4 linked regions of the Schizosaccharomyces pombe genome follow. The gene in region 4 interacts genetically with the main gene of each other region. Each region holds a gene or a part of one and is shown on either strand. Other genes may lie near its edges. The genes, in order: pxd1, rad1, suc22 and cdt2.

Region 1 (7,852 bases), on a different chromosome or scaffold from region 4:
AAAAGAAGGAAGCAAGATTCTGCGCGTTTATTCTTCCATGTTTATTTGTACTGTGCATGAGAAATGAAAGAGAAATCTGTGTTGTATGATCCATAAAATGTTTCTTATTCAAAAAAAAGTGAGTTATACTTATGACTGAATAGAACGAGTTTCTGGTATACCTCCATATCTAAAGGAACAGGAAATTAGTTAATCGGTCAATAGAATGTAGGACTTAGCAGAAGCAGAAGTTCAAAGGACTTCCTTATTATTTTTATAAACACAACTTACCAATATCAGTGCCAAAATCAACACAGGTTAAAAGCTGCACCGAAGAATCTGGTTTGACAGAAACGACAAATTCATAGAAATGATTGGGTTCAAGAGTGTTATCCTAAAATTAGTTAGATAAAATAAAAAAACTCTGAAAACCGATTGTAAAATAGATAAAACGTACCACAGTGAGGTGCATATCGAAAGAACCGTTGGAATCGACTTTTGCAGTTTCACCTTCAACTTGATTCGCCTTGCCAACAATCCGAACCGTTTTTCCAGAGCATTCTGGTAGCATATCTTTCGTAACTCGAGGTGTAGGGCGTTCCATATTATTTTATACGCGTTGTTTATAAAGTGGTGGAAGTGAAGTATGTATCAGACCAGGTAGTTAACTACTTGTTGACACGAATTATTTAAAATATTGGAACGCAGTACGTTATGTATTATATGTTGGAAGGCGCTGGGATGTAAATAAAAAAGCAAAAGCGTAAATATAAACGCTGGGGGCTAACGTTGATACATTACTGTTCTATTTTTTATAAGAATTATTCATAAAAAAATCTCCTTGTATCCTTCTGCGTTAATTTCACTACTTATTAATTGGTTGAAATGTTGTAAATAAACGGGTTAAAGACCAATATAAATACGTCTTACATATAGTGATTTAAATAACATTATGGAAAGATTTCATGGTATTTTATACTATTTTTGAAATCGTCGGCGACTCTTAATTTTCTCTCTTTTCCAATACCACTATTAGTAAATTGCTTAGGCGTAGACCAGAAGCTTCAATAATTAAAAGTAAATGTAATTGATGGAAAGCAGCCTTCTTTTAATGATATAATTTTTCAATTAGTTTTACCTTGAGGTTGTGATTTCATGTATTTCACTTTGAAGTCGCCCATCCCCTCGACCATTCAATTCAAAAAAAAAAAAATCAAAAAACTCCATACTCATATTGAAATCTTTCTTCTGTTACATTAGTTATTAAACCACTCTTCATTTACATTTGCAGAGCTTGTTACCTTAATACTTGCTAGTACCTAAAAGTGCTCTGGTTCAGCTCTCTAGTCGAATTTACCATCAACACTATTTTTGGTGTTACTAATTATAGGGTTTTTGCCCATGAACTATAGGCAATTGTTTCTTCTTCAAAATGTTAATTTAGAGTCTAATTATTTATTAAAACGTGTATGCCTGTCTTTAAAATTGTCTCCTTGTAAACTTACAAGGAAATTTCATCATGCTTGCCCTTCCAGTTCAAAAGTTTTGAAATATTTCCGCATAACTGGATGCCTAATAAATTTCGGGAAACAACCAGCAAACGATCATCATCTTTGGGGACATTGTGGTGCGCGTTTGAAGCATACTCAATCAGATCTTATTGATCGATTTAAAAATGCTAATTTGAAATCCGTGAATGAGGAAAACCTTAAAAAATTTTTCTCTGAATTAGAAAATCATGGAAACATTAGACAGTGGTTGAAAGACAAGTTCGAGAAGGACAAACGCGCTGCTGTTTGTCCTACTACTACAAAATCTGAGGAAGAGAAGTTGGAAAATGATTTTGAGTATTCTTTTGATTTAGAAGATTTCAGCAGTGAGAATTTTAGACAGTACGATCGTGGAGATTTGCTAGTGTTTTATAGGGGCTCCGAAGGCATTGAACTTGCTGCATGCACTGGTACTAATGTTTGGAACTATAGTAATGTATTGACCAGCATTAACGAAAACGGTACTATTAAGGAATTTCGTACATCTAGAGTTTTACTGAGATGTCCTAATGTCTTTAAAAAGCTGAAAGAGGTGCAGCAACCTCTTTCTGATGTTTCTGTTCCTTCTGATGTCCTACCTTTCACTATAAAGTTATTAAAAAAAATCTCTCAAAGAGCACAAGATTTAAGTCGAAGTCACCGAAATGAATTTTTGCGAATATTGACAGAATTCAATATTCCAAATAAACTTGACAATTCAGCTTCTTTTTCAGACCTTTTGAAATTTGTGTACAAAACTTCGAAGCCTAGCCCATATGCTAAAATCTCATTGTTACACTTTTTGCTTACAGAAAGCAAACATTTTTTAATAAGCGATCACATATTTTCCGAAATTCAAAAAGTCTATTTCCTTCCCTCTTCACAAAATGATTCTTTTGACGACGTTGTTGCATGCCTGCGTCAGAAATCAACACCATATCTTTCGTTTATAAAGAAAGCTCGTCATTTAATTCAAGTTTCCCGAGATAAATATAAGTTACCTATAAGCACCGAAGAAATAAAACCCGTAGTTTATTCACAGGTCACTTGGACTGAATTTGAAAAAAAACTATTGCGGTATCTTGTTCAGGAAATGATTGCAAAAAGTATTCAAAGTTTACCAAATACACACTTGTGTCAGGTTTACAAAGAAGTTGGCCTTCAAACTCACGAGAGGGGATTAACTAGTGATCAGTTTGCTAAATTCTTAACGGATATTGGCGTGTGGGCTTCATGGCAGCCCCCGAGGTTGTTTCAACAGGAATACAGCATTGCTGGCCTTGGTACTAATCCTCAGTTAGATGCTGTGTATGAACGTGAGTGTAATCACTTTAAAAAGTTTGTAAAAAATGAATTAAAAGATTCACTTGAATCGCAACGCGTCGATTTAAGGCATCTTAAAGCGTTCGCCTTTGATAGTTCTTCTACGAAAGAGATAGATGATGCGATTTCGGTTGAAGAATTAGGGATGTCTAATTCCTGGCTTCATATCCATGTTGCTAATCCTACGAGTACAGTTGACATTCGCAGTCCTTTAGGCACGTTTGCTGAAAGGAACTTTCAAACTATTTATCATCCCAACAAAATTGTGTATATGCTACCTCTCAATATCACTCAGAAATATTGGAGTTTAGATTCATCTTCTACAGCTCAAAGAGCATTAACTTTTAGTGCTAAAATTTCAAAAAATGGCGATATACTTGATTACAAGGTTCGGCCTAGCTTCATTTCCTCAGTTATCAAATACACACCCCAACAACTGGATAAAGCTTTGCATAGTAATCGATCAATTGCGAAAGACATCGTTTCTGGACCAGTGGATGAGGAAACAAAAGGAGTATCAAATGATCACATGAAAGATATATTAAGAATATATGAACTTTCGAAACAAGCCTGTTTTTCTAGGTTACAAAAGTTTGCGTTTGTTATTGCACAACCCACTCCGACAGTTGAATTGCTGCCTAATAATGTCCCTTATAATCTTGGTGATCTGAATCATCCAGTATACTGGTCTTCCTTCCCTACAATTAGTTTGAACGTTAGTGAAGGGTATAGCTTGGCAGAATCAGTAATATCAGAGTGCATGATATTGGCTGGCCGGGTTTCATCATTATTTTTTCAAGAACATAAATTACCTGGGATTTTTAGGGGCCAGCCTTATCCAATTATGGATGGTGTACGAAGAAAAGCGTTTGAAACTTTGTTAAGTAACAGGTCATCTTGGGGACTCGTTGAAACTAAGTATTCACTTTCTGTAATGCCTTTATTTGAAAGTTCACATTTAGCCTCCACACCTGTTTCCCACTTTTCTTTGGGGCTAAAGGATGGCTATATTCAGTCTACCTCTCCTTTACGCCGGTTTACCGACTTCTTCACTCATCATCAGATTCAGTCGGTATTATTAAAGACTCCAAAAAATACTATACCTGATGGTATTCTTCGTGGAAAACTAAATTTGTACAACCAAAAAGAAAAATCAATTAAAACTATAGGAAGATACATTAATCGTTTCTGGGCCTTAAAATATATAGAGAGACTTCCAAAGGTACAAAAAAATATTTATCATGGATATTTAATGGTTTCAGAACTTTCAACACCTCAGGTCATGTTGGAAGAATTGGGTGTTAAAGCGCATATTGATATTCTCCCGGACGAAGCATTCCGGTTAGCAAATACTCGCCAGGCATTTACAATTAAGGATGTCTTTCCGGAGTCTAATATCCTATTAGTTGCTTTAGCGACCTAACAAACTTATTAAAACTATTTTTATGGATATAATTTTACTTAATTAAATACTCAATCCTGCATTTTATCAATTTACCGAGACTTAACGATATAAATAAATTATGTTTTGGGATTTGATAGTAACCTGTTTCGCCAAAACTCATCTCAAAAACCAACAGGTAGTTTTACTATGAAGTCTCTTTGTTAACCTTGACTCTTGTGATTAAAATATATTTTCTTTTTCTATTTTTTGTAAGACAAGAAGCAAATGTCTTTGGATGCTTATAAATCCATCGACGAAGTGTGCTGCGTTGTTTAAAATCTAAGTTAAGAAAAATGATTGAATCTAAAGGTGAAACAGCACCCTCTTTAAATTTAAACGACGTTAATGTTGAAGAAAATGATGCTGCGCAAAGTTTTGCAGAGAAGGTTCAGCGGTTTCGATACCAGATGAAAGTCCATGCAGCACCGCGACAGAAAACGCTGCATTCTTTCCTGAAAAAGGATAATGCTAATATTCATGACTTTACTAAAGTTGAGAAACCACACATTCGTTCTTCTAAATCGAAGGTTTCTTATAACAGTATTACATCAAGAGTTACCAAATATTTTGAAGAAAAAAATAATTCCGTTGATCAATTGCATTCAGAAAGCTTGACCCCATTAAGCTTTGGCCATACCATTCCCAAGAAAAAGCCGTTACTTATGACGGCTTCTGTTTCAGAAGATTCTAGAGTTCGTGTTAGTAAGAGACAATTTAAGTCCAAAGTTGTTCATCCAGAAATTGCTATTTCTATTGCTAAAAGGCATAAGCCAAAGTTTCCTCTGTCTGATGAACTCATGAATGTCGAACCTGGGTTCCACCACAGCAATATCGGTTGTCAAATTACGCCTTACTTATGGATATCATCATTTAGAACTAATGTCTATTACCTAATTGGAAATGAGGGTGACTTATTGTCCCAACAAGTACCTTCGATAAGTGGGGAGTTAAACATGTTGAGAGGAGTATGCACCCGTATCGATGATGATAATCGCTATGATATTGAACAAGCTGGTTCTTGTTTTGGTATGTCGGTATTTCCAACCTCTGATTCTGGAGAAGAGTCTTTTACCACCCTTGAGTCCGATCCGATAGTTAATTGCGAACACGATGAAAAGAAAGTTGCTGATAATCTCCTGGTTCCTCAAGTAATGTGTTCTTCTAATATTTCAACGTTCTTTCGAAGCCCTGGTGGAAAAAAGTTGTATCATTATTTATGGAAAAATTCAAATGCCCTACGTATTTCCTCAAACGACCTTCTCGAAATACTTTTAAAGCACGGTGTTTATGTATCTTTGGACACTCTGCACTCGTGGCTTCAGGAAAGAAACGTAAATTTTGAAAAGTGAAATATTTATGTTAGACTAAGTATAGCAAACTTTTGGCGAGCTGGTCCCGTAATGATGATTTAATGTACGTTATATATCTAACAAGTCAAGAATATTATTTCAATAATTTTAAATGTATATATTTATGTGATAAGTTAGAACTAAAAATAACGAGTAGATAGCTTGTCTTAATTTTGAAGGACCAAAGCAGAAGGGACTTTATGACTCGAGTTTTAAACGTCTTTGAGAACGTTACTGAGTTCTTCTTGTCTTATTTGTTTTTTTTTATATCTCAATAGCGCTGTATGGTTTATAATATATGCATATAAAGCGCTAATGTTAGGACCTTTTCTTGAGCAGATTTGTCTTTGGAAAATAACGAAATAGTATATTATTATGTTATTTATTTAACGAGCCGGAAATTTTTCATAAAATTTCACTAACGTGCTGCGTAGTTAATCTTTATTATCTAATACTAGGACAAGGAACGCGAGAGCATGTGTTTGTCATTAACTACACACACGAGAAATAGCAATTTATGTGTTTCGCGTCTCTGGCCTACTTATATCTTACAAAGCATTCATTTTTTGAAACCTTCTTTTCTTTCTAAATAACTGCATTTGTAATTGCTCAAATTACCAACCCTGAGCAGTTAAAGTCTTTTTCAAATTTCGTTTCATAGAGAATCAAAAGAATTCAAGGTTGGATCTATTTATATTAAAATTTATTAGAATGTTTGTGTTTGGATAATAATGAAGCCTCGCCCGTACTCTGTTTTCCTCTTTCTTCATATCGTTTTTTACAGCCTTCTTTCAGCAGTGAATGGATCCCCAAGTTTGGATTATTTTGAGACTTGTTCAAACTTTGTACCGAGAGCAGGTATTCCTACCTTTAGCCCATATGCAGTTATCAAGAATTTTGATGAAGTGAATCGGATGTACTACATTCAAGTAGTGGGGAATTTATCCGGAGTTATAACGATTGTGGGTGGAAATGGCTCACATATTCACGCTGCTTCAGTTTATTCGGAAACTTATGCGTTAGGAAAACTGGTCACATCCAATACCACAAAGCTTTGTGATGTTGTTATGGATCCTCATTCTTTTGAAGTCCCCATAAAATGTCCTTGGGCAGCTGGAAGTGCCGCTTTCATGGTTAAAGTTCCCTTTAAATCCACCTTGTCCGATTACTCAAAATACGAATTGACTACATTAACAACGCGAGTAATCGTTGTTGACGGTACTCCCGAGAAAAATGTAATAACTTGTATGAAGTTTGGTTTGTCCACAACTTTGTATTATTTTTATCCAGTTATTTCATATTTGGTTGTTGTGTCGCTCGCATATGTCTCGTTTTCCATTATTTATGCTCTTTTTTTAAATCCATGGACCGGCAGTTTAGATCCATTTAAGTCGATTTTTAATTTTAATATGGACCCTGATGCTCTTCGTTTAACATCCCTTGGATTTTTTGATTTTGTGCAATACTTGCAATTTGCTGTTTCTACAGCTCAGGTTAGTGTTATGTTTCCAAAATTTTACATAAATATTATGGCTGCTCTTTCTTGGGGCACTGCTCTATTTCGATTTCCCATTTTCTCCGAGCCTGCTGAATATCAATTTGCAGACTTTGCCGACTTGTCTGTAGCATCCTCTAGTTATGCGGATTATTTGCCTAAGTCATATGGCATGTATTCGTTTCTCGATTCTATAGGAATAGGTACTGCATGCTGGCTTCCGTTTCTTATAGTCATGGTTATTTACTTATTTGCTGCGTTATTTGTAGCATTGTTGGTTATTTTTTTGAAATGGCTTATGTCTAGAATTTTCAATGAAACTATTGCCGAAACTCGGTGGGATACTTGGAGCTTCATTGCTGGTTCTCTGATACGTCTTTACTTCTTGACATATTTCCCTACCGTCGCTTATATGTCATTCCAGTTTGTCGCACCGCCCACAGGTTATGAAATTATCCCCGTTTTGTGGTTTATCTTTTTTGGAATCTTTATTCCGGTGTATTTATATATGAATCTCGCTTTTGTTGAACCATCGTCCAAACTTCTTGAAGATCAAACATATTTGCATTTATTTGGCTCTATATACAATTCGTTTCGAGAAGAGAGAGTTATGTTTTGGATCTTTCCAATTGCCGTACAATTTATGCGTGGTATTACGGTTGGTGTCATAGGAAGTTCCGGCTCTGCACAATTAGCCATATTCTTTATACTTGAAGTTGCTAATGTCGTGGCG
Region 2 (7,857 bases), 2.9 Mb from region 4:
TAATTTTTAGTTTTTTTGTTTAAAAATATATATAATTCTATAATACCAAACACTCTTTATGTTCCATAATAACAAATGTACAACTCATTAAATTGAAAATATGTTATCAGAACAAGTCATGATTTTATTACACAGATGCTTGCATAGATCCAAGTAAAACAGTAACCATAGGTTTTTCGTCAATTCTGTAGTAAGAGTCGTTGGCCTCCACCTCTTCGGACTCCACCGTCGGTTCTTCAAGGTTTTCATGATAATTTTTTAGAGCATCAGTCAACTCATCAATTGGAATGGATGCTTCGGAAAACAGCATCTTAATTTTTTTCAATGTCACTGTATTTTCAACGCATAACCACGAAAGGATAAGAACTGTAGATTGGAAAGGAAACAGTCCATGATCAATTTGTTGGAGAAACCATTTGGTACTCTTTTCCTCCGAATCAGGACTAAAATCAAGTTTTCTGCTTTGGTCAATACCTTTGAGTTGGATTCTCAAGCGATCGTAAATTTTGAAAAGGCGTTTCATTTTTTCAAAGTCATTTTCAATGAATTTCCGTAAAAAGCGCACCCTTTCTACGGTGTCAGCAGGTAAAGATCGAAATAAAGATGCCAGAATAGCTAATATATGTTCCAGAGTATCGGCTGCAGATATTTTCATAAACGCAGCAAAAATATATTTCAAACCGCCTGCTTCTACAAATCGAATACAATAAGGAGTGGAAAGAGGCCCAAATAAAAGATAGTCCAAAACTTTGATTGTAGAATAACGGCTTTTTCCTTTATGTTTCATATTTAGTATGCATAATTCAATACCTTCCTCTTTTAGAAAAAGGGATTTTCCTTTCGTTTCTTGAACCAGACTACATAAGCAATCAAACACGTTTTCCATCATTTCTTCTTCTGATCCTTGGGTTGGATCACGAAGCCTATAAGGACTGATCCGGCGCAACAAAAGATCAATCCCATTCAAGTTGCACACTTTCAATTTAGCTTCTTTTGAATTAGCGAGAATGATAGCTAAAATTTCAACAGCGTACTGCAAATTAGTTGATATAGAAGTTTCATCAACAGACGATCTACTCAGTAACCATTCTACCAATGTTGTGTTTTCAACTATTATTGAACAAATGCTATTGTCCACAGATAATAAATTCTCCATAAGAGAGAGCACACAATATACTCCATGTCGGTCTTCCTCATTAGATTCGTCAAACCTTTTGATTGTATTTGAAAGCAAAGGAAGCAAACCAGAATCTATAAGGGAAGTAAATAAGGAGTTTAATGCGTCTGGGTCAACATCCTCGTCAGTCAGTTCTATCAATAGCTCCAATACCGTAATAGTAATATCCGCATTTTCATGGTTCATTAATTCTAAAAACGTGGAAACACAATCTAATTTAAGGAAAATGGGTATGAGGATAGGATACTCTGAAAGCACATTGAAGCTTCGAATTTCCAGATCAAGATCTGCCTCTGATTCTATAAACCTTTGAGGAGAAGTAGAATACTTGATGCGTAACTCCTGATTATTATTAATTGTTTTTTCAAGTCGTACTACCATGCGCTTCAATTCAGTAGGAGTCAATGAAGCAGGTTCTTCCTGGGCTTCCTGTTCGTCTAAAAAGTCTAAAACGGTTTTTTCACTCTTTTTAAGCCCACTTCCAAAAAATCTACCTCCTTCCTCGTCAAATTCTTCATTCTCCTCATCGCTATTCTCTTCAGCGAGTCTTCTGCGACTACTAGCTGGCTCCAAAGAGTCTGCTTCCTCAGGGTTCCTTTTCTTATTTGTTTCCTCGGTATTTTTAAAAATTGAATCTACATCCATTTAGAATAATGTATTTTTTATGCGCCAGTTTCCTTTTCAAATTGAATATATGAAAACCGTCTGATACAAAATAAATAATTTTGACAAACTTATATTTTATAGCCGCATCAAGTAAAATAAAAGCCTTATGAAAAGACTATCGTGCAATTCAATTATAACGCCTGACTCGTTCCTAAAATTCCTCTCGTTTACCAGTTCAAGTAAAAGCTAGGTAAGATGTAGGCATGTACAAAGTGTATCAAAAGTGAAAACCAGAATCTAAGCTTGGAAAAAAATAATAACAGCAAGTAAATTCCCCTCTGTTTTATAAATATTATACAACTCTTATATCCAAGAAAGGAGAGATTGGAAGAAGGATAAAAAGTGTTTATTTAAGAGAAGAGAAGCTAAATAAAGTGCATGCAGTTAACTCGAAATTTTTTAGGTTGATTAAATAAGGAAGAAATTAGATCCATCTTGTATTACCTTTCTTTTAATTGTAGCAATGACTTTTCAAAAGAGGGTGTAAAAATGACATCCTAACTGTATATATGATAAAATTACAATTATGGATTTTCTAAAGCAATTTAAATTTAGCTATTATCACTAAAACAGTTCGGCAATTTGCAATATTTGTCTAATAAATGAACCATTTGTTTCATAAACAATCAAATTCATTAAGCTACAAATCCTTAATTGTATCTTTAGTTTTGAGTCAATCAACTTACTGGGATCCTATAGCTTTTTTGAATATCATTTGGTAAATTCAAATATGGCTCTTAAAACTTGTATTTAATTTGATAAAATTTCTGTGTCGAGAGATAAATAAATAAAGACAGTTAGAAGTAGATGCTATTCAATTAATAAATAAAATACTCGTCTATTAAGCTTTACGGCTTTCCAAAAATTTATATATCAGAATAAAATATTTCACAATTTTTTTTTTTTTAAAAAAGAAAAAGCAATCTCAATTTTCATTTCCTTTAGTAATCTGCATACCTTTTAAAATTGTGCACCTTTTCGAATTTTACTAAATAACTTCTAACTTGAACTGTCTTTCTTATTCTGCGTTTGGTCTTGTAATCAAGTGTCAAGTCCTTTAATATCAGAAGGAAAAATTATCAATTTATAAGATTAGCATTTACGGGTGTTCAAGTTGTAGCATATAACCAATTTTTTATTGTTGGACGTAAATTCGCATGTTTCAAGCAGAAACAGTATGCTTAAAGCAGATTCAGTCAACATTACGATGCATTGATTTTTCAAAGGAATGTACTATCGAAATCACAAGTCGTGGACTACGGTTTGCAGTGGAGGAATCGCAGTCTTTGCAGGGTAAGACAAGTCGAGTCTCACATCTATGATCGTTAAAAAATTTGAAGCTACTTAATAAAGTTTCATATATTAATGCGATTCTTGAAATGCATTCACTTTTTCTTTATTGTTCACTCACACATTAAGCTCACGCCTTTCTTGATAAGTCGTTGTTTCAAACGTTTAATTTTCAGGGTGATTCAGATGGGGATACATATATGTTCCAGACGATGATTTCACCTCTTTTACAATCATTATCAATTTATACAGATGGAAAAGAACGGATTTCAACTAGTGCCTGGGATCAACCCACTGTAAACATAATGCACAAACGAGGCGTTATCTGCAAAGTACAGTATAATGGACCCGGCTGTCCATTTATATGGGAGTAAGGATTTTATCATTAACATTCTGTACTGACAAAAATAAAGAGTAGAGGAAATGGCTGGTTATGCTACGGCTTGTGAACTGTTGACTATGGAATGTGAGGACGACGTTGACATCAATAGACTTGCAAGCACATTGTGCACGAAGATCATTATGAAAAGTAACTGGCTATATGATGCCTTGGTGGAATTAGACAATAACATGGGCGAAAATTTAATTATTCATACATCATCCCAAAAATCAACCTTCTTATTGAGATGTGTAGGGGCATTATCCACTACGGAAATAGAATATCCAAACGAGAAAAGTGTTTTAGAGTCTTTTGAAACTGATTCTGAAAACACTTATTCCTACCGCTTCTCATTAATAAGACATGCGCTGAAAGCATTACAAGTGGGTTCTAAAGTAAACCTACGTATTGATGAAAATGGAACTTTGAGCATTCAAATCATGCTTGTCGGTCAAGAAGGGCTTTGTACGTTTGTAGACTTTTGTATTGTTCCTTTGGACCTTGTAAGTGAAGATGAGGAGGAGGATGAAGAAGAAGAACCAGCAGAATCTAATCAGTCGGACAATAACGTTTTACGAAACGATCCGAATTATCGAGGAGATGCGGAGACCGAGGATGAGGATAGCTAAATGATAATTTTAGCACTCAGCACTTTAGTGTTTCCGATAACTTCAAAAAAAGAAAAAGGTACAATTGATACTGAACAACTTATGATAATACACTTATTCAACGAATCATGATTTATTTCCCTGCTTTTTGTTTGGTCTTATTTAGGTAGCTTAAAGTCACACCGTTTCCTCACTTTTTCTATGCTTATTTAACACACGTATAAACAAGACGCTTTCCACTAGGCTGTCTAGCAAAGCATGTAGCCAACAAAATTCCCATGTATCATACACACGATTATACATTATGGTTAGATCTACGAAGCATTCAAAAATTCTTCAAACATTATTGATTTTTAAAAAATAGAAAATGCAAAGTGACACTCATAAAACATTTGTTTACTCAAAATGGAGTCTCATCTCCTCTTGCATTCCATTTTTGGACGTTGTTGAGTCTCTGATCACAAATTCTCGCACTTTCCAACTTTATCTTGATAATTCTCATATCCTCACCCTCCACGTATTGTTTCGTATTACCCTTGTCATTAGTGTTTAAATGCTTTTCTCTAAAGAATTCCTCTTCTTTGCTATTCTTTGGAAGAACGGTAGCAAGGCCATTCAAGGTCACTGATGTATTCGAGAACTGAGCCTGATTCATTTTATAAAGTAAGGTGTACAATGAGGAGGCATCAGGATCTGTTTCTTGACGATTAGTGGTCCAGTCATGAACTAGTAATGATACTCGAGGATTCTAGTCATCATGTTAGAAAAAAGAAAATACCAATCAGGATCAAGGATAAGTTAAACTTTTAAATATGATACATACCGAACTGATGTTAAAATATTTTTTACTGTTTTCTCCTGTTGACAAAATAATGCAATCCTCCACTTCGTAAGGGGCAGCGCTTCCTGCAGGTAAATAGGTAAATGTCATCAAAGAAGAGTGAGGCTGATCATGAAAGCAAGTAGCTAGTTGAATATATTTGGATGAGGACAAGCATCTCTTGATTTGGCTGGGGAACTCATGAGATGAATCGACTTTTGAGGCCATATTTACTTTCAGGTTATTGTGGTGCGACAAAGATTATAATTTGCAGAATAAATACTGGTGAATGGAAACTATTGATCCAGACAAAACTGTACGATAATTTCTATACTTGATTATCCTTTCCTAAATTTTGGTGGTACTCCTCTCTGAGTAAGCAGGTTTGATACTAGGTTAATAGCAGAAATGCTGACTCACAACTCAACGTAATATAGAGGTATGTACTAAACAGCCAACTTACGAATTTTGCAGGGGAACTAAAGATTAATAATCTTCAAAGGAATACTGCTCATAAAATAAACGCGCTCATTTCTGTGTATCTTGGAAAATTCATACGCATTATGATTGTTGGATTTACTTACTCAAAACTAATTTCCTTAACTTATAAACACTAATTTTAGTATACGGATTTTTTTTATTTCGTAAATTAAATTAATGTAAAAATGAAATACATTAAGTCATAACAGCACGAAGAAGCTGTATTTTAGTCGTAACAAGGTTTTGGAAAACCCTTAGAAAGAGTAAAAGTGGCTATAACAACTGATAACTAAATTTACCAATGATCGATCTTCATCGTTCCTTTTTCTAAAAGGTTGAGCTGCATCTTGAAAGCATTGGCAAGAATATGGGGTTCATGACCAGCTCCTCTAGCTAAACAGTAGTTTTCGGCAATATCGAAATACTCTCTGAGCAGAGGCTTATAGTCAGGATGAGCACACTTGTCAATAACCTCACGAGCACGTTCGGTAGGAGACAAGCCTCGTAAATCAGCCAATCCTTGCTCTGTAACCAAAATATCCAAATCATGTTCGGTTTGGTCAACATGGGTAGCCATAGGAACAATACAAGTGATACCAGTAGGATCCTTCTTCGAAGGACGAACCGATGGTGTATGCATAATACTTAATTTCGCATTACGCAAGAAATCAGCAGAACCACCTAAACCGTTCAACATTCTGCTTCCCAAAACATTTGTACTATTGGCATGAGCGTAAATATCGGCTTCCACAGGAGTATTCATAGCGATGCAACCAAGACGGCGGATAATTTCAGGGTGATTGGAAATTACTTGAGGGCGTAACAAAATTCTTTCCTTGTAGTAATCATAGTTTGAGTAGAATTTTTCAAATCCCTGAGGAGAAAAACGGGTTGAGGTAGCAGTAGCAAAACGTAACTTTTCAGAGTCAAAGAGAGGCAAGAAAGTATCTTGTAAGACTTCTGTCCACACTTCGAGATCTTTAAAGGGAGAATGGGCAAGACCACCGATAATAGCGTTGGCAATGTTTCCAATACCGGATTGCAAAGGATGAAGATTTTTGGGAAGACGCCCTACAGATACTTCATGATGGAAAAAGTCAACTAAATGGCCTGCAATAGCCTGCGAAGTCTCATCTTGCGGAGAGTTAGCGCATGTGATGTCTCCATAATCAGCCTCCACTATTCCAATAACCTTTTTGGGATCCACTTTGATGTATGGCTTTCCAATACGATCGTCAACTCGATTGATGTTTATTGGAGTACGATGTGGGGGGTTGGGAATTTCGACAATGTCATGAAGTCCTTCAAAAGAAGGAATGGCAGTGTTCACCTCGATGATAATCTTTTCCGCAAGTTGCATAAGTTCCGGACTCGCACCAACTGATGCGCCGGGAACAATTCCGCCGTCCTCGGTAATGGCTGTGGCCTCAATAATGGCTGTGTCAATTGTATTACTTTCACGATTACGAGTATAGTAGCCATAAAGTAAATCTTGGGGAAACATGGATAAATGCTTGTCGAAAAACTGAATTCTGCCAGAGTTAATTCCTTTAGAAATTGGCTTTCCTACTTGATGAGGACACCGGCGCTCAATCATATTCAATTCAGCCCACTTGCATTCCGTATCAGCACCTCCCGAGGCACCAACGAACAATTTAAAACGCAATTTTCCTTGCAAATTGTTCTCTTCGACATGTCTTGCTAACGCGTTTGGAATCATTTTAGGATAACCGACACCAGTAAAACCAGACCAACCAACATAGTCCCCATTTTTAAAGTACGGAACCAACTTGGCAGGATCCGTAACAATTTTTTTGGCAAATTCGGCATTGCGAATGCGTGAACTCAGAAGAGACGGCATTGTATCAACAAAAAGAAGAGAAGAGGAAGGAAATATTAAAACGTTGAACTAGTAAAAGTCAAATTCAAAAGCGATAAAACAAGAAAAAAAAGAAAAGAAAAAGAAATCTTTCAATGAAGAATCTGGGCGACAGATAAATAATCAGAATATGCTCAAAAACGCTTTTTTGGGCTTAAAAGATAATTTTAATTTGTTGAATGTACACTCTTTTTTACTTTTAAATAAGAAAATGAATCAACCAAAAGTGGTTGTTCTTGTGACAAATATGTAACTGCTCAGTAACAGATTTACAAACCCAAGGATCACAGATATCGGTAAGATATGGAATGATGATTGCAAAAAAAAAGCCGGAATGATGAATGTATGCGCGACTTGATTTTAGCAAAGTAGACCAAAATTGTGACGAAAAAAAGAGACAGAATTTGCGAAATAGGAAAAGGGTAAAAGGTTGACCGGGTGAAAATCTTCAATAATAAAAGGGCGTAAACTTTGTTTAAACAATGTGTTTCGAAAAAAAGTGTTGTTTGCTTATTTGTTTTCCGGGGAAGGAAGGTGTTTTTTTATGGTGATTTAGTC
Region 3 (7,932 bases), on a different chromosome or scaffold from region 4:
GTGGGAAAGATTTCACCGACTAAGTACTCATTAGGAATGTCGTAGCTTTCTTCATTTTTTATATTTCTTATGTTTATATTTCTATAATAATTTTCGTTAATAGTAGAAAGATGGAGCATGCTGCTATGCTTACGATTCAAAAGGATAAAGTGATTTGTAAGTTTCCTGCACTTTTTCTTTTAATAAAGAAATTGAAGAAGATGGGTCAAACAGAATCATAAATTGATTATCTTGTTCACCATCTTTGATTATATGAAGCCTTAATGTAGTTCTCATTTCGAATATTCAGCAAATTTCTTTATTTGATTCTTACGGAGAAGTGGATCCGGCAAACTAGTTATAATGGAATTAATCAGTATTAAAAAGACGTTAAAACAAAGTAAGTTATTTAAAATGGAATGCCCATTTCTTGACACCAATGGGTATCCAAAGTTGGTTGCTCTAAGGAAGTGCGTAAAGTTCTATTCGCAATTTACTCGGCATGACAGCAGGAAGGGTGGGACAGCAGTGATGAACAAGTTAAAGGTGTAAAATAATGCTAAATGTCAAGAAATAAAAACTCATTACTCATTCCTACGACTCGAGCATATTGACACGTATCTTAAGGTTTTATGGTCCTTCCAAATCTAACGAAACATATTGGCTTAATATATCTTCCTTTCAATTGCGTGAATTAACATTTGAATACAAGTAAATAAACTATCATAGATTAAAAGAACGACAGATGTATTAGTCAGAATTAAAGAATATTCAACAGAAAAGTAGTTTGACGTCTCAGAATAATTTCTATAGGTTGTAAATTAGCTTAAAGCAATTAATTGGCAGAAAAATTAAATGATAGGAGTTATCTATTAGTAAATTGTTAATTCTCCATATGTAAATCCGGATCGAGGAACATTATTGTTTGACCATTGTTTGTAGTTAAAAGAACACCAAGGTCTGTATATTCCTGTATTGTATTTATTAAATGATCTTCAGTAAAACCCTTAGCAAGTACGCGTTCACGAATAGCACGTAGTGTAAGTGAGCGTTCATTGCCTTCAACATCTGGTATGCTATTAAGCATGTCTCGAATAATTTTATATATTTTCGAGGTAATAGTAGTATCGTGAGAACTAGGATCCAAATCATCGTATAGTGATGACTTTGAAACAGACATTAATCTCAAAGCTTCATCAACATCGCCAATCTCCACTCTATTACTGAAACGCAAACGAGCTAATGCTTGTCCCATTCGCAAAATAGCGAGAAGTGTACGTGGAGTAGTGTGAGCGAATTGACGCTCATTGGCTTCATCACGCTTTTGGTTTTGTCGAAGTTGAACATAAGCACCAGTAACATAGTCGCATACATCCTTTGGTACGACTGGGCGATATTGTCTAGCAGAAGAAATATAATGCCTAATCATGTTTGGATCTAATGGTTCAAAGTCCATTTTAGGTTGTTCGTTATGCATGTGAACATATGTTACGTGTTGTGCCAAATGCTCGTCTGTTTCACGAGAAGGAGTATCTAAAATTAAAAATAAAATATCAAACCGGGAAAGCAGTGCAGCTGGAAGATTTATATTGTGGATTGGTGCCACTTTCGGATTATATCGTCCATATAAGGGGTTCGCAGCGGCCAAAATACTTGTTCGAGCATTTAAAGTCGTAGTGATTCCTGCCTTTGAAATTGAAATAGTTTGCTGTTCCATTACTTCATGAATTGCTGTACGGTCACTTTCATCCATCTTATCAAATTCGTCAATGCAGCAAATACCGTTGTCAGCAAGTACTAAGGCACCTCCCTCTAAAACCATTTCATCCGTCACTGGATCACGCATTACAGCAGCAGTTAAACCAACACCTGAAGATCCACGACCTGTGGTGTATACTCCTCTCGGGGCAACCTTCGAAATATACTTTAATAATTGAGATTTTGCGACACCAGGATCACCAGTTAAACAAATATTTATGTCACCACGAATTCTCATTCCATCCCCTAACTCTTTAGTAACACCTCCGACAAGCAACAGAAGTAAAGCTTTTTTAACATCTTCATGTCCATATATCTCGGGAGCAATGGACTTGGCCAGTTTTTCGTACACATTGCCTCCTTGATTTAATTCAGCGATAGCAGCCTCCGATTGAGGAGTTTTTTCAATATTTGTGTAATTTTTAATGATTTGTGAAACATAATGGCATTCTAAGTAAGTATCGGTTAAGAGCCCGGCGCGCATTGCTCGAAAACCAGTATACGGAGTCGGCAAAAATATACCAGAAATATCAACGATATCGCCAGGATTTACAGAGCGAGTGATAGCACCATATAAGTGGACGGTTAATGATCTAGGGATATGGCCAATAGGTACTTGGTTCGTTAATTCTTGTATTTTTACTTCCTGAAAAGGAAGAAATTTACTGGCTCTTGTGCTCATGAAAAGCTGACCTTTTGCATCATTCTTTTTACATTCATCCGAAGGACATTCAGACATTGGAAGGAATGTCTTCTGACGGATTTCTTGAAACACTTCATACCCACATCGATCACATGTATAAGCATTTACAGTTAAGCTAGGCTTAACATCACTTGTACGAGTAACTATACCACGGACAGTCAAAAGAGATCCCAAGTTTTCGCCTCTTAAATCACGAACGCTGAATGGTTTTTTGTTGCGAGTTACTGGTCGAAAGTATAAGTCATAACCTCGGGTTAATTCAGGAGGAAATCCTTTATGCTCAGGGTCTATATTTTCATTCCTTTGAACACGTTGCTGCATAATTACATCAAGTACTTCGTTGCGATAATTAATTTCCACAGTAGGAGGAGGCATCAACGCATCTGCGCACTGCGAAAAAAGTTCAACAAACCGTTTAGCATTAGATTCAATATTATGCAAAAGCTGAGTATCACTTGGATCGAACTCGTACAAATCATTCAAATCAACATTAATAACATTTGACTCTCGATTGGAGATTTTTTGTAGTATATCCATATACTTTGATTTTAAAAAAGGCTCATCACCTGCATCCGACATCGAAATATCCTGATTTTGTTGTCCATCTTGAACCTGTTCCTGCTTGAAGTGGGATAGAAAATCCGTAATTTTATGTTGACATTCTTCATACTCTGGGATTTTTAAATCTATGGTGGGAAGTGCCATGCTTTTCAAACCAAAAAAGTATCCCAAAACTTTTCTGCTGAATTAGCAAAAAATATAAAGGTTCAAAAAGAAAGCAAGGGTATTAAGTAAGGGTAAGATACCAAGAAAGGTTCTTCTTTAGGTTGTTTTAGTTAGTTGGTAGTATGAATCAACGCGAACTCGTAAGGTAACAAAAATGTAAATATTGTAACTTAGGGCATATACAAATTGTCATTGACTCTAAAGAAATTGCAGTGTATAATTTTTTTGATTCTCTACATATTTCCTTTTTAATTTATTACTCTCGCAGCAAAAGTAAACATTCAGTTTGATTTTAAAAGCCACTATGTAGTACTGTTAGAAATTTTTTTTGGAGAGTATTCACTATGTATAAATAAACAGTTTATTTGTTTTAAATTAATAATAATCATTTTGCCAGACAATAAATTGGTCATTTTATTTTCATAAATGTATGTCTAATTGTTTTCATTGCTTCAATCGATTGTTATTTTAGCTATCCATAATTTTTCCTATTTTTCTTCTACACGTTTTGTATTTCTAAACATGAGAGTTATTTAGACTACTGCCTAAAATTTATTTCACTTTTATTTTTAAAAATTTTTTTGAAAACTTATGAAGTAAGTTAGCAGGGAAATTCTCAAAAGAAATGCGATATCAACAATATAAAAACTTCGAGTAGGGAACTTTTTATTTTTTGTTCGGTTATTTCAAACATCAGTGAAGAATGAATATAGAAAATTCTTTATTGTTTTATACCACATTGTAAACTGTACCTAAAAGCACAACACGCAATAGAAACGTGCTATTGGAATGCTTATTTATTTTCTGTTTACAATAGACGAATATAAGTATTTCTTTTTTTTTTTACGAAAGGATCAAGGTATTAAAATTATTCACAGTATGTGGCTAGGTCTCTGTCGCGCTTATCTTTTTTTAATTAAGCAATGTCTTTATGTACGGTCGCGTCGCATTAGAAGTTTCGTGATTTGTAATATTTGAGCAGTTATAAAGCGCTCTACATCTCGGATGAAAAGGAGATTGTGAAGAGATATTTATTTCTAACATCATATCGTACTACTAGGCTGATATCATTGCGTTTCATCTACAACATAAATTGAGGTACCCTGACGCGTCTTAAGTATTACACTGAAAACTACTTTATTAAATTATAACAAAAAGTGAGAAATTTAATAATTTATTTATTACATAAAGTAATAAATTCATTTCTATTTTTTCAATTATTTGAGCCTAAATAATTGAATTTATTCGACTCCACGCTTAGCATCGAATTCTTCGATTTAAGCTATCACATTTTTCTATTAACTAGCTACAATTTCCTGCTTTAAGAAACCGTTATTATAACACACCAGAAGGGAAAGGAAGTAAGCCCTTGCTTTTCCCATTTAATTTGAGATTGTCTTCGAATTTATTTCATTTTTTTTACTCGTTGCGTTTGTCTCCAAATATTAATTAGTACATTGTTTTTTTTCAACGTTATTCATCTCCATCAGCCTTTGACTTAGTTTAACTGCAATTTTCCACTCTGTAAAATAAGGCAGCATTTTGTCTATTTTGCCTTCACTCTTATTCATTGTGTTATCATACCCAAAGTGCGACAAATTAACATCCACAAAAAAAACGGTGGTGTTGAATATACTACAATACTGTGCACTACATTGGATAACCTACCTTTGAAAGTTTTGCCATTAACCACAACACATCTTGGGAAGCCACATCGCAAGAGATAATCGCGGTGGAAGAAAACTTTTGTACTTATTCTATATACAGATAAATCCGGTCAGTTTGGACGAAATCTCATTATTAATCTTACAAAATGGGCCTTGAGCATCTCGAAGAATTCAGTTATCCTAAGGAACATGGTGAAGAAGTCGAGTATGATAGCGAACAAGGTGTTCGTAAAATTTATGTTAAATCTATTAAAGAAACCTTTAACTTTGATAATGTAAGTGAAGAAGAGAAACAGGAAGGAGGCGACTACTACTTGGGCAAAAAGGAAGATGAGCTTGATGAAGTTGTGCTTCGCCCTAATCCTCACCGCTTTGTTTTGTTTCCAATTAAGTATCACGAAATTTGGCAATTCTACAAGAAGGCTGAAGCATCTTTTTGGACTGCTGAGGAAATTGATCTTTCGAAAGACTTGGTTGATTGGGATAACAAGTTAAATGCTGATGAACGTTACTTTATTTCCACTGTACTCGCCTATTTCGCTGCGTCAGATGGTATTGTTAATGAGAATCTTCTCGAGCGTTTCAGCTCTGAAGTTCAGATCCCTGAAGCTCGTTGTGTTTATGGTTTCCAAATTATGATTGAAAATATTCACTCTGAGACCTACTCACTTTTGCTTGATACATACATTCGTGAACCTAAGGAAAAACAGCGTCATTTCGATGCTATTTTAACAATGGGTTCTATTAAGGCCAAAGCCAAGTGGGCTCTTCGTTGGATTAATGATGAAGATTCCACCTATGCAATTCGTTTGGTTGCCTTTGCTGCTGTAGAAGGTATCTTCTTTTCTGGATCGTTTGCCTCTATTTTTTGGCTTAAGAAACGTGGACTTATGCCTGGTCTTACTTTTTCCAATGAATTGATTTGTCGTGATGAGGGTCTTCACACCGACTTTGCCTGTTTGATGTTTAGTCATTTGAAGCACAGACCAGGCCGCAAGGTTGTTGAAGCCATTATTGTTGAAGCTGTTGATATTGAGAAAGAATACTTCACGGACGCTCTTCCCGTTAGTCTGCTTGGTATGAATAAGGATTTGATGTGTCAGTATATTGAATTTGTTGCTGATCGTTTGTTGGTTGCTTTGGGCAATGACAAGTACTATAACGTAACCAATCCTTTCGATTTCATGGAGAATATCTCTTTAGCAGGAAAAACAAATTTCTTTGAAAAGAAAGTTTCTGACTACCAAATTGCTGGCGTTATGTCGGGTACCAAGCGCGCTGAGAAGGATGATCATACATTTACAATCGATGAGGACTTTTAGATGACTAGTTATTTTTGGTTTTTAGATAAGTTAAAGCAAAAAAAAAATATTATTGATTACTGATAACCTATTTAGCAATAATAAATTAATATGTTTAATTAGATTTTCGTTACTCTATACTTTACAAATCTAAATGGCTACTTCAGTGAATGTAATGACGAAGTTCTAATTTCTGAAGTATTTCTATTCAAGTTCTTTTCTCTTTTTCATTAATTTACTACGTCTAAGAAAAGTTATTTTCCAGTCATAGACTAAAAGACCATTTACTTATTATCCTTATTGTCAATTACCTAAACCTACAAGATTACATGTATTATACAATACTTTGTAATTCGATTTATGGTTGACTTATCACATCTCGTATTTTTTTAATGAATTACTGCAAATTTACTCTCAAAAATAATCAATACTTTCTTTTTTTTTAACGATTATTTTTCTTTAATTCGTATTAAATGTATGAAGCCAATATGCTAAGATTAAGTCAAAGGATCTCAAATGCTGTGAATCACTTCTCAACCGCCATGATGTCGGGGGCTTCTGCAAGTTTGACCGAGGGTAGTGCAATTATACCATTTTCAAATCCGAATGAAGTCTTTTATAACCCCGTACAACAATTTAATAGAGATTTAAGCGTTACAGCTATTCGTGCTTGGTCGGAAACTAGATCCAAAAAAATTGTTGCAAAATCTCATCACCGGCATCAGCTTCTCGATCAAAACTCCGAACTTAGCCAAGAAAATCTTACTAAATGTGATACAACTCATGATTTTGAAAAAAACTGTTCGGAAAAGACAGATTCTACTTCAGCTGATAATATTGCTGGATTTACCATTTTAGAAGCACTTTCCGCTACTGGATTGCGTTCCATTCGGTATGCTAAGGAGTTGCCAAATGTCAAAAGGATACTTGCAAATGATTTATTAGAAAATGCTGTGAAAACCATCGAGAAGAATGTTAATTACAATAATGTGAGCGATATAGTAATTCCTAATAAAGGAGACGCTAATGCTGTTATGCATATGAACAAATTTCATTACGATGTGATTGACCTTGATCCTTATGGATCTGCTGCCCCGTTTCTGGATGCTGCTGTACAATCCGTTTCAAAGGACGGTCTTCTATGCATCACATGTACTGATTCAGCTGTTCTAGCCGGTAATGCATATCCAGAGAAATGCTTTTCTAATTATGGTGGGTCCTCTTTGCGCTCTAATTTTTGTCATGAGCAGGCTGTTCGTCATTTGCTTTATGCTATTGCAGCTTCTGCTGCAAAATATGGTCGCGCTATCAAGCCGCTACTTTCCCTAAGTATTGATTTTTACTTTCGCGTATTTGTTCAAATTAAAGCAAAGCCTGTTCTCGTAAAAAATTTACAAAGTCAATCGCTATTGATATACCATTGTTCAGGCTGCGGTAGCTTTGCCGAGCAACCACTTGGAAAAACTTCTCCGGGAAGACTACCTGGAACCACCAAATTCTCTAATGCTTCGGGGCCTCCTGTATCTGCTAACTGTGAACATTGTGGATATGTGCATCATGTTGGAGGCCCTTTATGGGGTGGACCCCTACATGATGCAGAATTTCTCAAAAAAATGCGCGCCATTGCAGAAGATTTAGACCCTGAAGTCTATGGCACTAAACGAAGAATCTTAGGTATGCTCGCTTTGGCTGATGAAGAACTACCAGATGTTCCATTTTATTTTGTTTTATCCCAAATTTGTAGCGTCTTGCGCTCCCAATCTCCTCCTCAAAATATATTTGTTTCAGCTTTGTTAAA
Region 4 (8,003 bases):
TAACCCAACAAATTCTCGACTTGGTACAACAGGCCTCTCATTACAAGCAGCTTCGCAAAGGTGCAAATGAGGCTACCAAAACCTTGAACCGTGGTATTAGTGAATTTATAGTAATGGCGGCTGATACCGAGCCCATAGAGATTTTATTGCATCTGCCATTGCTTTGTGAGGACAAGAATGTGCCTTATGTTTTTGTTCCTAGCAAGGCTGCTTTGGGACGTGCTTGTGGTGTAAGTAGACCGGTGATTTCAGCCAGCATTACTACCAATGAGGCTAGTGATTTACTTCCTCAAATTCAAGCTATTAAATTGGCAATAGAGAAATTGCTCATCTAAACTTTTGGATTTTGGGAACAGTTTTCTTTTAATCGAGAATAAAATTTGATTCTTATGGAAGCAGATTGTTATCGAATTTTTTATTTTGTTATTGTAATTTTGTACTGTTTCGCTTTCTATATAATTTCAAGTACTCTGTTTGTAGTCATTTTAATTTTTATTAATTAGCTCGCAAAATACTCAACAAGAAAGATAGTTGAGTGTTTACATATAAGAGCATTACGATTTTAATAAAGATAGTGTATATTTGGTGTTTGATATATATATTTTTTAATATATTTTTCGTGTATGATTCGAAAAGTATCTTCACTAAGCTTGCTTCCAACTTGATTCTGAAATTTTTTCTCTCTAAAGCGTTACAGCTTGTCCACTAAAATAAAAAAAGATATTTGTATTCATTAATAAACTTTACTGTTATCCCATGAGTATCTATTAAAACAAATCCAAATTTATCTAAATTGCGATACGAGCTAGGCTCGCTATTTTCCTTTATTACTTGCTTCTCGTTTGTGTTTACTATCCAAGCGCAATATGCCTACTAAGACTAAGAAAAGGTCCGTTCTTGAGGCTGAACGGAAAAAGATTGGGTAAAAAATTTCTATAGCAAGATGTTTTTACTAACATTTGGTTAATAGACTCGATCATGCTCCCAAGGAGGATGAAAGTGTAGATGACAACTTCCCAAAGCAATTCAAGCGATTGCTACAGCAAAAAGAGTACCATGAATCTAAAAAGAAGGAAATAAAGAAAGGCAACCTTAAAAATAAGAAAAAAAAAGATTATGGGAAAATTCAAAGATTACCCGGTGAACGCCTTAGTGAATTTAGTCAGCGCGTAAATAAGGCTATTCCAGTATCTTTTAAGTCTGGGCCGAGCAAAATAGACGAATTTACTGATAAAAAAGAAAAGAAAAAAATAGCGAAAAGAAAAGAGAAGCGTGAAAGAGACTGGAATGAAATTGAGGAAAATTTTGAAGATAAAACATGGGAGGCGGATACTACTGGGTATGTGTATATCACCAATTTCATTTCGTATAAACTAACATATTAGACAATTTATCCAAATTGAGTCTAGAAAAAAACGAAAAAATTCGCCTGATCCGTGGGCTAATTTACAAACAAAACCTTCCTTTGGAGAAACTGTGCAAGCTCCTCCTGAACTTCCGGAATTAAAAATTAAAGAGACAAAGTACTTGGAAAATGTTCCCAAAGTTAATAATATGGGTCAAACAGAATCTATGGCACGACGCCAAGCTCTAGGAAAGCAGCGTTTGGAACTTATAGAGAAATATAGAGAATTAATGAAAACCAAGCGGAAATAATCTTTTTAATAATGAAAAAAGAATTTATTTCTAATGCTGACTTAAAAATAATTAATTACTTTAAATATACAGCAGGCATTAAATCTAAATTTAATTAATTCAAAAACTCATCCACAATAGCAGATAATTTCGGTCCATAGTGCCCTCTTAGTTCACAAAACTGTTGTGAAAATTCTGGTGTTATCGTATTTGACAATGAAACAACTATTAATAATTTACTAGTCAAATCGCAACATACATGTTCCAATAGCCTTCTATTAAGTGGATTTTTGTCCAAAGAAATTTGTGTATGTGGAGAACTTGCTTGAGTCAAACGCTTGAAGGGGAATTGACCAACTTTGGCATATGTGTATAACCATCCCTCAAGTATTTTTAAAAGAGCATCTAAAAATTGAGGTTTTAAAAAGTTATGCTCCTCAGATACACGATTGTCATCGTTGTAATGTGATGCTTTAACACCTTCTTTCATTATCACTGTTTCCAGAAAAGTTCGGGCTGCCTGGTCAAGTTAGTTTCTTAAATCAAATAATAAGTTGATTTTGTATACCTGAAGTTGCAAAATTTTAGAGCTGTCATTATTCATAATATTAATCAAACAATTAAAAACTTTAGTCTCATCATCCTTCTTTTTTTCCTCATCAGCAGGGTTATCCTTCCTTAGAAAGAACCAAAACAATAGACTCTGTAAAGTATTAATTGCAGAAAACTTCAATGTATCTTCATAGCTATTAGGAACCCGCGAAAGAAGCGAAACAAGCCTTTCATATATTATGTCAAACTCAGGATAGTCAGAAAAATCTTTGAGAGAGGTACATCCCTCGATTCTTGTTAAACAAGCTTCAAAAATAACAAATTCATCTTTTGTTATTACAGCATCTTGAATATTAAAAGATCCAAAATTCTTTAAAAATTCGGTTACCGTCTGGTCGCAAATGTCAGTAACCAGAAGCTTCAAATCTTCTTTCAAAGCAGGAATAGAGTCCAACCGTAAAAATAATATCGTGCAACCTTGAATAATTTGAAGATCATTATTGGTTAGGAAAAATTTTTTTAAATTATTAATTAGAAGTTCAAAATGTCTGGAAAGTTGAGGGTCTGTCATTTCTGTCAAATCCATTGAGAATAACAAACGAAGAGAATCATGAAGAAGTGTTGGTGAAGCAGAATTTCTCTCAGTTATTGAATTAATGTAAGGAAGAAGATTCAAATAAAGTAAGTCCTTATCTTTATTTTGATCGTTGGTCGTTTCCGCCGCTTGCTTATTATGCACCGTTTTAGGTGTGATAAAATTGTTATTACAGACAGTTTGGATTGAAGCAGAGAGAAGCTGTAAAAGAATAGATTCCTGAAAATCATTTAGCTTGCAGAAAGAAAGTATACTGTCTATCGGATCTTTTAGAGTCGAGGTATAATTATCAAAAAGTACGAAGTTGCTAATATCCTCCCATGACTGATAGATTGAATCAATTTCACATGCATTAAGTAAAGCTTGTGTTATAGGAGTAATGAAATTACCATTTTTTTGGAAGATTCGTAATAATGTATCATAATCAAAGCTCGATTGGTAAGACAATCTAACCTCCTCCAAAAGTTTACACATTTGGGAAAATTTTATCCAATGAACTGAAAATGTAGTAAGTGAAGTCTGAGAAAAGGCCTTTAGAATATAGTCTTCTTCACCCCATAAATCAATTTTTTCATTCACACTTTCGTCAACCACTTTGCATAAAAACAGTACGGCTTCACGTTGCACCCTTGGATTGATATCTAAAATTAGCTTCAGCACTTTTAAAATTTCAGAATTTTCTAAAAATCCGCAAGTCCTCATAGCGTTACACAAACGAATGCTGGCTACACGAACTCCAATATCGGCGTCCACACAACTCATCTCGAGTATTCTTTCTTTAAATCTAGAAGAAAAATGTCTTAATCCACCAATAAATGAATCTGTCTCAAAAAATTTGCGCAAAACTTTAACTACAGTTAATCTGACGGTAGTGTTTATGTCTGAAAGCATCCATCCTAGGTATCTTAAATAACTTCCTGAAAAAAATATGCTTGGAACAGTATTAATCCAGACCCCAAGCTCTTGTAAGCAATCTACCCTTATTTTAGGCTCCACGTCTCGATATCGATGGACGAAGACACTAATATAAAGGTTAGTATAAATAAATTAAAGCGTTTGAGGGATCTTTACCTATCAAAGTAGTCATTTAAGTATGTAGTCAATGTATCTTGTTGCTTGACTATTTCACCAAGACTGTTATTAAGTTCGTTGATGCGATTTCTATTTACACGAGAGCGCTTTTCTTCTTTCTCGAGCTGTTTGGTAGCAATTGCATGCTCGTTCAATAGTTCTTTAGATTTTTCACATAAAAAAGTCATAATATTCAAACAGAAAACAGTGGCGGTGTGCCGAATAGGTCTCATCGTAGAAGAAGACATGGCAACGACCCAAGACATAATATCTTCAAAAACAGTGCTATTGTACAAGTAATTTCTTATTGACAACTGTGACACAAAGTTGCTTAAAAGACCGGTCAATCTCTTTCTGAAATTCCTAAACTTAAGATTTTTTGAATTTAAAGGATAATCACGAGTAGAAGTCTTAAAGTTGTTAATATACAAATAAAGTATTTTCGCAAAAGCACTTACACGCTCTACAGAAAGTTGAATTTGAGATAGAGTAGCTGAAGCAGAATCTTGATCCTGAACATCAAACACATTAATGGCACGATTGCAACCACAGCACTAAAATATTTAGTAAAGAAAGAAAAGAATGACTCTACCTTTAAAATAAAGTTAATAAGATTTGCAAGGGCAGATTGATTATCTTTTGCATAGTCAGCAAACCACGAAACCGCGATGTCCATGGTATCAACTTTTTGGTCAAGCAGAAAAGCTTTTCAGTGTTAGTAGCTGAAAAAAAGAAGGACTTTATCATTACCAAATAAGTTGTTAAAAATTTCTTCTTGAGGATCCTCTTCAACTATAGCGTTCCTCCTAGAGCGTTTTACATTTACTCCTTTAGAATTTGGCCGTGGATGCCGTTTTTTTGAGCTTATCGTTTTCTCGTAATCATCATCGCTATTTTCTTCAGAAGATGAATTTGAACTACTGCTCATGGGATCAAAACTTTGAGAAAGCATTACAGGGGAAGATTCTCTGTCTCCTCCATCATCATCAGATCCAGTAGTAACAGACTCACTCATTTGAAGAAAAAAAGAAATAATTTATAAATAAATTAAGAGGTGTAATTAGAAATATTGGAAAGAGTGTAATGAATGCACTATTGGTGTTGTACAATGGAGGTTGTTCACAACCTGTAGTTGATAAAAGCACGAACTTGTCTTGTTCAATAGTGTTAGACAGGATAAATGTGTTTGAAAATCCAAGGATACGAAAGGAAATTTATACTTAACGAAGTTATTACATTAAAATTTTCTTTACCTTGATTGAAACAAATATATACTATTTTCTTTTGGGTCCTGCAAGGTGAACAGCTAACTTATATTCACTCCGCGAGTTGAGATTGTAATTTGACTATACAAGTATAGAATTGTGAGTGAAAGATTCTTTTGACGCGTAATATTTTCGATTATTATTAATAAATGAGATATTTGACAACTTTTCGAGCGCTCATTATATCATAGGCAGAAATACGAAAGTCATCCTTTATGAAAAATTAACAAGTAATTAGAAAACTTTTATCCTTTTTATTTATTCCTCAAGAATTTTAGGCTGTACCCATCTGTAATTGCAAATATGCTTAAACATGACTTTGAAATACGCGTTTTGTTACTTTAACATATTCTGGGTAACGTTTGGTGCATGTGATGGATCACGGACGCGTCGCGTTCACGCGTCACGAAAATCTAATATACTCACGCTACCATCCACTACTTAAATTAAACTGGAACACACGACCTCAAAAGCGGATTAAATTAAGATTCATGATTATACCATGAATATGGACATTGGAAAAGCTTTGAGTGATGTTGGTGGGCTTCGAGATATTACCTCACGTGCAAATAACTCATTACCTCCGACTCCTGATTCTTCTCCCGCAGCACCTTCCAAAAAACATAAGCTTTACGACTTCCTAGAAAGCCGAGGAAAAATTGAAACACCTCGAAAACGCATTGTGTTTGAAAAGAAACCCCTGTTACACAAGCCAGTTCATATTCAAAAAAAACCTGCTCAACTTTGTAAAGAACTTTTAATCAGACAACTGGGAGGTTCCCGGTCGCACCCTTTTAGCACAAAAACTTCTCGTCATGTGGGAGGTAGACTCAATCTCGAAACATATTACTCACGACCTTCGGAATGCTTAATGATGCTGAACCAACTCCCGTTCTGTCTTGGATTTGCTAATAACGAGTCTTTATTGGCCGTATGTACTGAGACTGGAGCTCTTGAGCTGTTTGATTCTCGATTTTACGATAGACAGAATGAGGAAAATCAGCCGTCTGCTCGAAGAATCCATGGCTGGCTTGCTCACAACAATGCTATATTTAGTGTTAATTTCTCTAAAGATGATTCATTATTAGCTACTTCATCTGGCGATCAAACATCAAAGGTATTTGATTTGTCAACGCAACAATGCATCACTCGATTGGGACGACGAGGTGTCGATGGATACCACTCTCATTCAGTAAAGCAGGTTAATTTTTGCAATGATTCTCCTTATAATTTGGTAAGTTGTTCTCGGGATGGTTCCATTATCTTTTGGGATATGCGAACACACGGGATAACAATTGACGGTGAGCATTTTCAGAAACCAGTGTTAAGGATAAGAAAAGCACATGAAAATTCGGGAAGGGATTGCTCAATTACCTCAGCTACGTGGCTCCCTCAATCTACTTCGCAAGTTATATCGTCCTGCTCTGCAAACTCGGCCTTAAAGTTATGGGATTTACGAACTGTACATACCGTCCGACCTTTACCTGCTGCTACTACTCCCGAATTAACTACTTCAAAACGCGATTTTGGTGTTACTAATGTTTGTACTTCTCCTGACGGTGAGCGTATTTATGCTGCTTCCAGAGATAGTATCATTTATGAATATTCATCTCGTCACTTAAACTCCGGATTTTGCAAGACTTACAAAGACCCTAGACTCAGAATTTCTTCATTCTACGTAAAGTTGGCGTGCAGTCCTGACGGAGCAACTTTAGCCTGCGGTGGAGGCGTTCAAGACAAGACTAGTGGTGTTGTTGTTTTTGACACAACAAGAAACTGTTCATCGTCTGCTATGCTCACAGGTGGTCATACTAAGGATGTTACTGCAGTTGATTGGTCTAGTGAAGGTCAATTGGCAAGTATTTCAGACGATGGGAGCGTTCGCGTATGGAATTCTTCTCTGCATGGAAGTGCGGCTAACCTTAGAGAAAAGAATTTTTCGGAGATTTTTTATTGGGGATTTAGTGAAAAATGAAAATTATCACGCATAGCAATGTCTCAATATTCGGCTTGTTTCTCTTGAAAAGAAGACTATAAGTGAGGCTTCATAATATTTTGTCAAAAATAACGACTATTCCCTAATGCATTTGAATATTATTAGGATTCTTTCTTTTTCCATATCTATTTAATCCTTTGATTTGTCATTTTTTTGCTTCCGCTGGATGCTTTATAAGCTTTTTCTGTTTACCAAAGCTTAATGCATAAAATTAGTTTGCAATTTTTTTTTGTTGACAATTATTTTTTTTTTTGGAAGCAATCAAAATACCAGTCAATATATGCAATCCAAATTAGATGTTTTTTCCTCACCGTTAATCGAACTCCTATTCCTAAACAAACGTTCAGTTTAATAGTTTTTTATATACTAATAATGATTATTCAACACTTAAAAGAAATCCATTATTTAATCAGCGCTAGCGCTAAATTATTACTAGCAAGCAACTATTTACTAGAACTTCTTATTTCTCATAATATACAATTTAGCCCTATACGTTCATTTTTTATAATTATGGTCTAAGGATATTTTACGAAGTTGCAAACAATAATAACTAATTCTATACAAAATAGATGTGGCTAGCTATTTCAGCTTTTATTTTACTCATTTTATACTTATACACTTTATTTGGCAATTTGTTGTAACAATTAAAATAAACGCAAACTACAGATCATAAGTTGTCGAAATGATTTTGGTGCACTTCAATTGGCCTCGAACATTTTAATTTTTATGGATTATGGTATATTAAATTTATAAAACTAAGACATGCCACGAGCCTTGTTCCTAAAAATGCTCATTGACGTTACTAATATACTCGACTCTGTTCATTTAAACACCACGATTAACGTATTTTTAACAAAGGTAATAACACTTTTATCATATTAACGCACTT

Evidence for each region.
Region 1: of cdt2 (region 4) and pxd1, changing one suppresses a phenotype caused by changing the other (phenotypic suppression), as found in Schizosaccharomyces pombe (one study listed by BioGRID).
Region 2: mutations in cdt2 (region 4) and rad1 are lethal when combined (synthetic lethality), as found in Schizosaccharomyces pombe (2 studies listed by BioGRID, with this or other methods).
Region 3: of cdt2 (region 4) and suc22, extra expression of one rescues a mutant of the other (dosage rescue), as found in Schizosaccharomyces pombe (one study listed by BioGRID).

What each region holds. Positions count from the first base shown.
Region 1 is NC_003421.2:1,281,782-1,289,633, forward strand, and holds pxd1 (protein Pdx1), read left to right. Parts: upstream 1-4,384; 5' UTR 4,385-4,568; coding exon 4,569-5,624; 3' UTR 5,625-5,750; downstream 5,751-7,852. Other genes in the region: DNA replication factor A subunit Ssb3, read right to left, coding at 105-169, 271-373, 437-583; rpm1 (3' ssRNA-specific 3'-to-5' exonuclease), read left to right, coding at 1,381-4,254; trp1322 (TRP-like ion channel protein), read left to right, coding at 6,356-7,852.
Region 2 is NC_003424.3:4,975,619-4,983,475, forward strand, and holds rad1 (checkpoint clamp complex protein Rad1), read left to right. Parts: upstream 1-2,959; 5' UTR 2,960-3,000; coding exon 3,001-3,136; exon of another isoform or gene 3,137-3,262; coding exon 3,263-3,503; exon of another isoform or gene 3,504-3,546; coding exon 3,547-4,141; 3' UTR 4,142-4,520; downstream 4,521-7,857. Other genes in the region: SPOM_SPAC1952.06C (uncharacterized protein), read right to left, coding at 128-1,822; SPOM_SPAC1952.08C (pyridoxamine 5'-phosphate oxidase), read right to left, coding at 4,521-4,868, 4,944-5,168; ach1 (acetyl-CoA hydrolase), read right to left, coding at 5,716-7,281. UniProt on the Schizosaccharomyces pombe protein: Recombinational reparation of DNA damages induced by UV and gamma radiation.
Region 3 is NC_003423.3:3,716,776-3,724,707, forward strand, and holds suc22 (ribonucleotide reductase small subunit Suc22), read left to right. Parts: upstream 1-4,847; 5' UTR 4,848-4,979; coding exon 4,980-6,155; 3' UTR 6,156-6,297; downstream 6,298-7,932. Other genes in the region: nucleolar protein Dnt1, read right to left, coding at 1-81, 134-276; MCM complex subunit Mcm7, read right to left, coding at 863-3,145; trm1 (mitochondrial tRNA (guanine-N2-)-methyltransferase Trm1.1), read left to right, coding at 6,608-7,932. UniProt on the Schizosaccharomyces pombe protein: Provides the precursors necessary for DNA synthesis. Catalyzes the biosynthesis of deoxyribonucleotides from the corresponding ribonucleotides.
Region 4 is NC_003424.3:2,033,268-2,041,270, reverse strand, and holds cdt2 (WD repeat protein Cdt2), read left to right. Parts: upstream 1-5,566; 5' UTR 5,567-5,620; coding exon 5,621-7,093; 3' UTR 7,094-7,315; downstream 7,316-8,003. Other genes in the region: U3 snoRNP-associated protein Snu13, read left to right, coding at 1-335; SPOM_SPAC607.02C (uncharacterized protein), read left to right, coding at 867-922, 971-1,339, 1,386-1,656; mitotic cohesin complex non-SMC subunit Psc3, read right to left, coding at 1,751-2,155, 2,204-3,803, 3,854-4,263, 4,312-4,407, 4,446-4,558, 4,604-4,868; SPOM_SPAC17H9.18C (uncharacterized protein), read left to right, coding at 7,316-7,633. UniProt on the Schizosaccharomyces pombe protein: Substrate-specific adapter of a DCX (DDB1-CUL4-X-box) E3 ubiquitin-protein ligase complex required for DNA replication during mitosis and meiosis.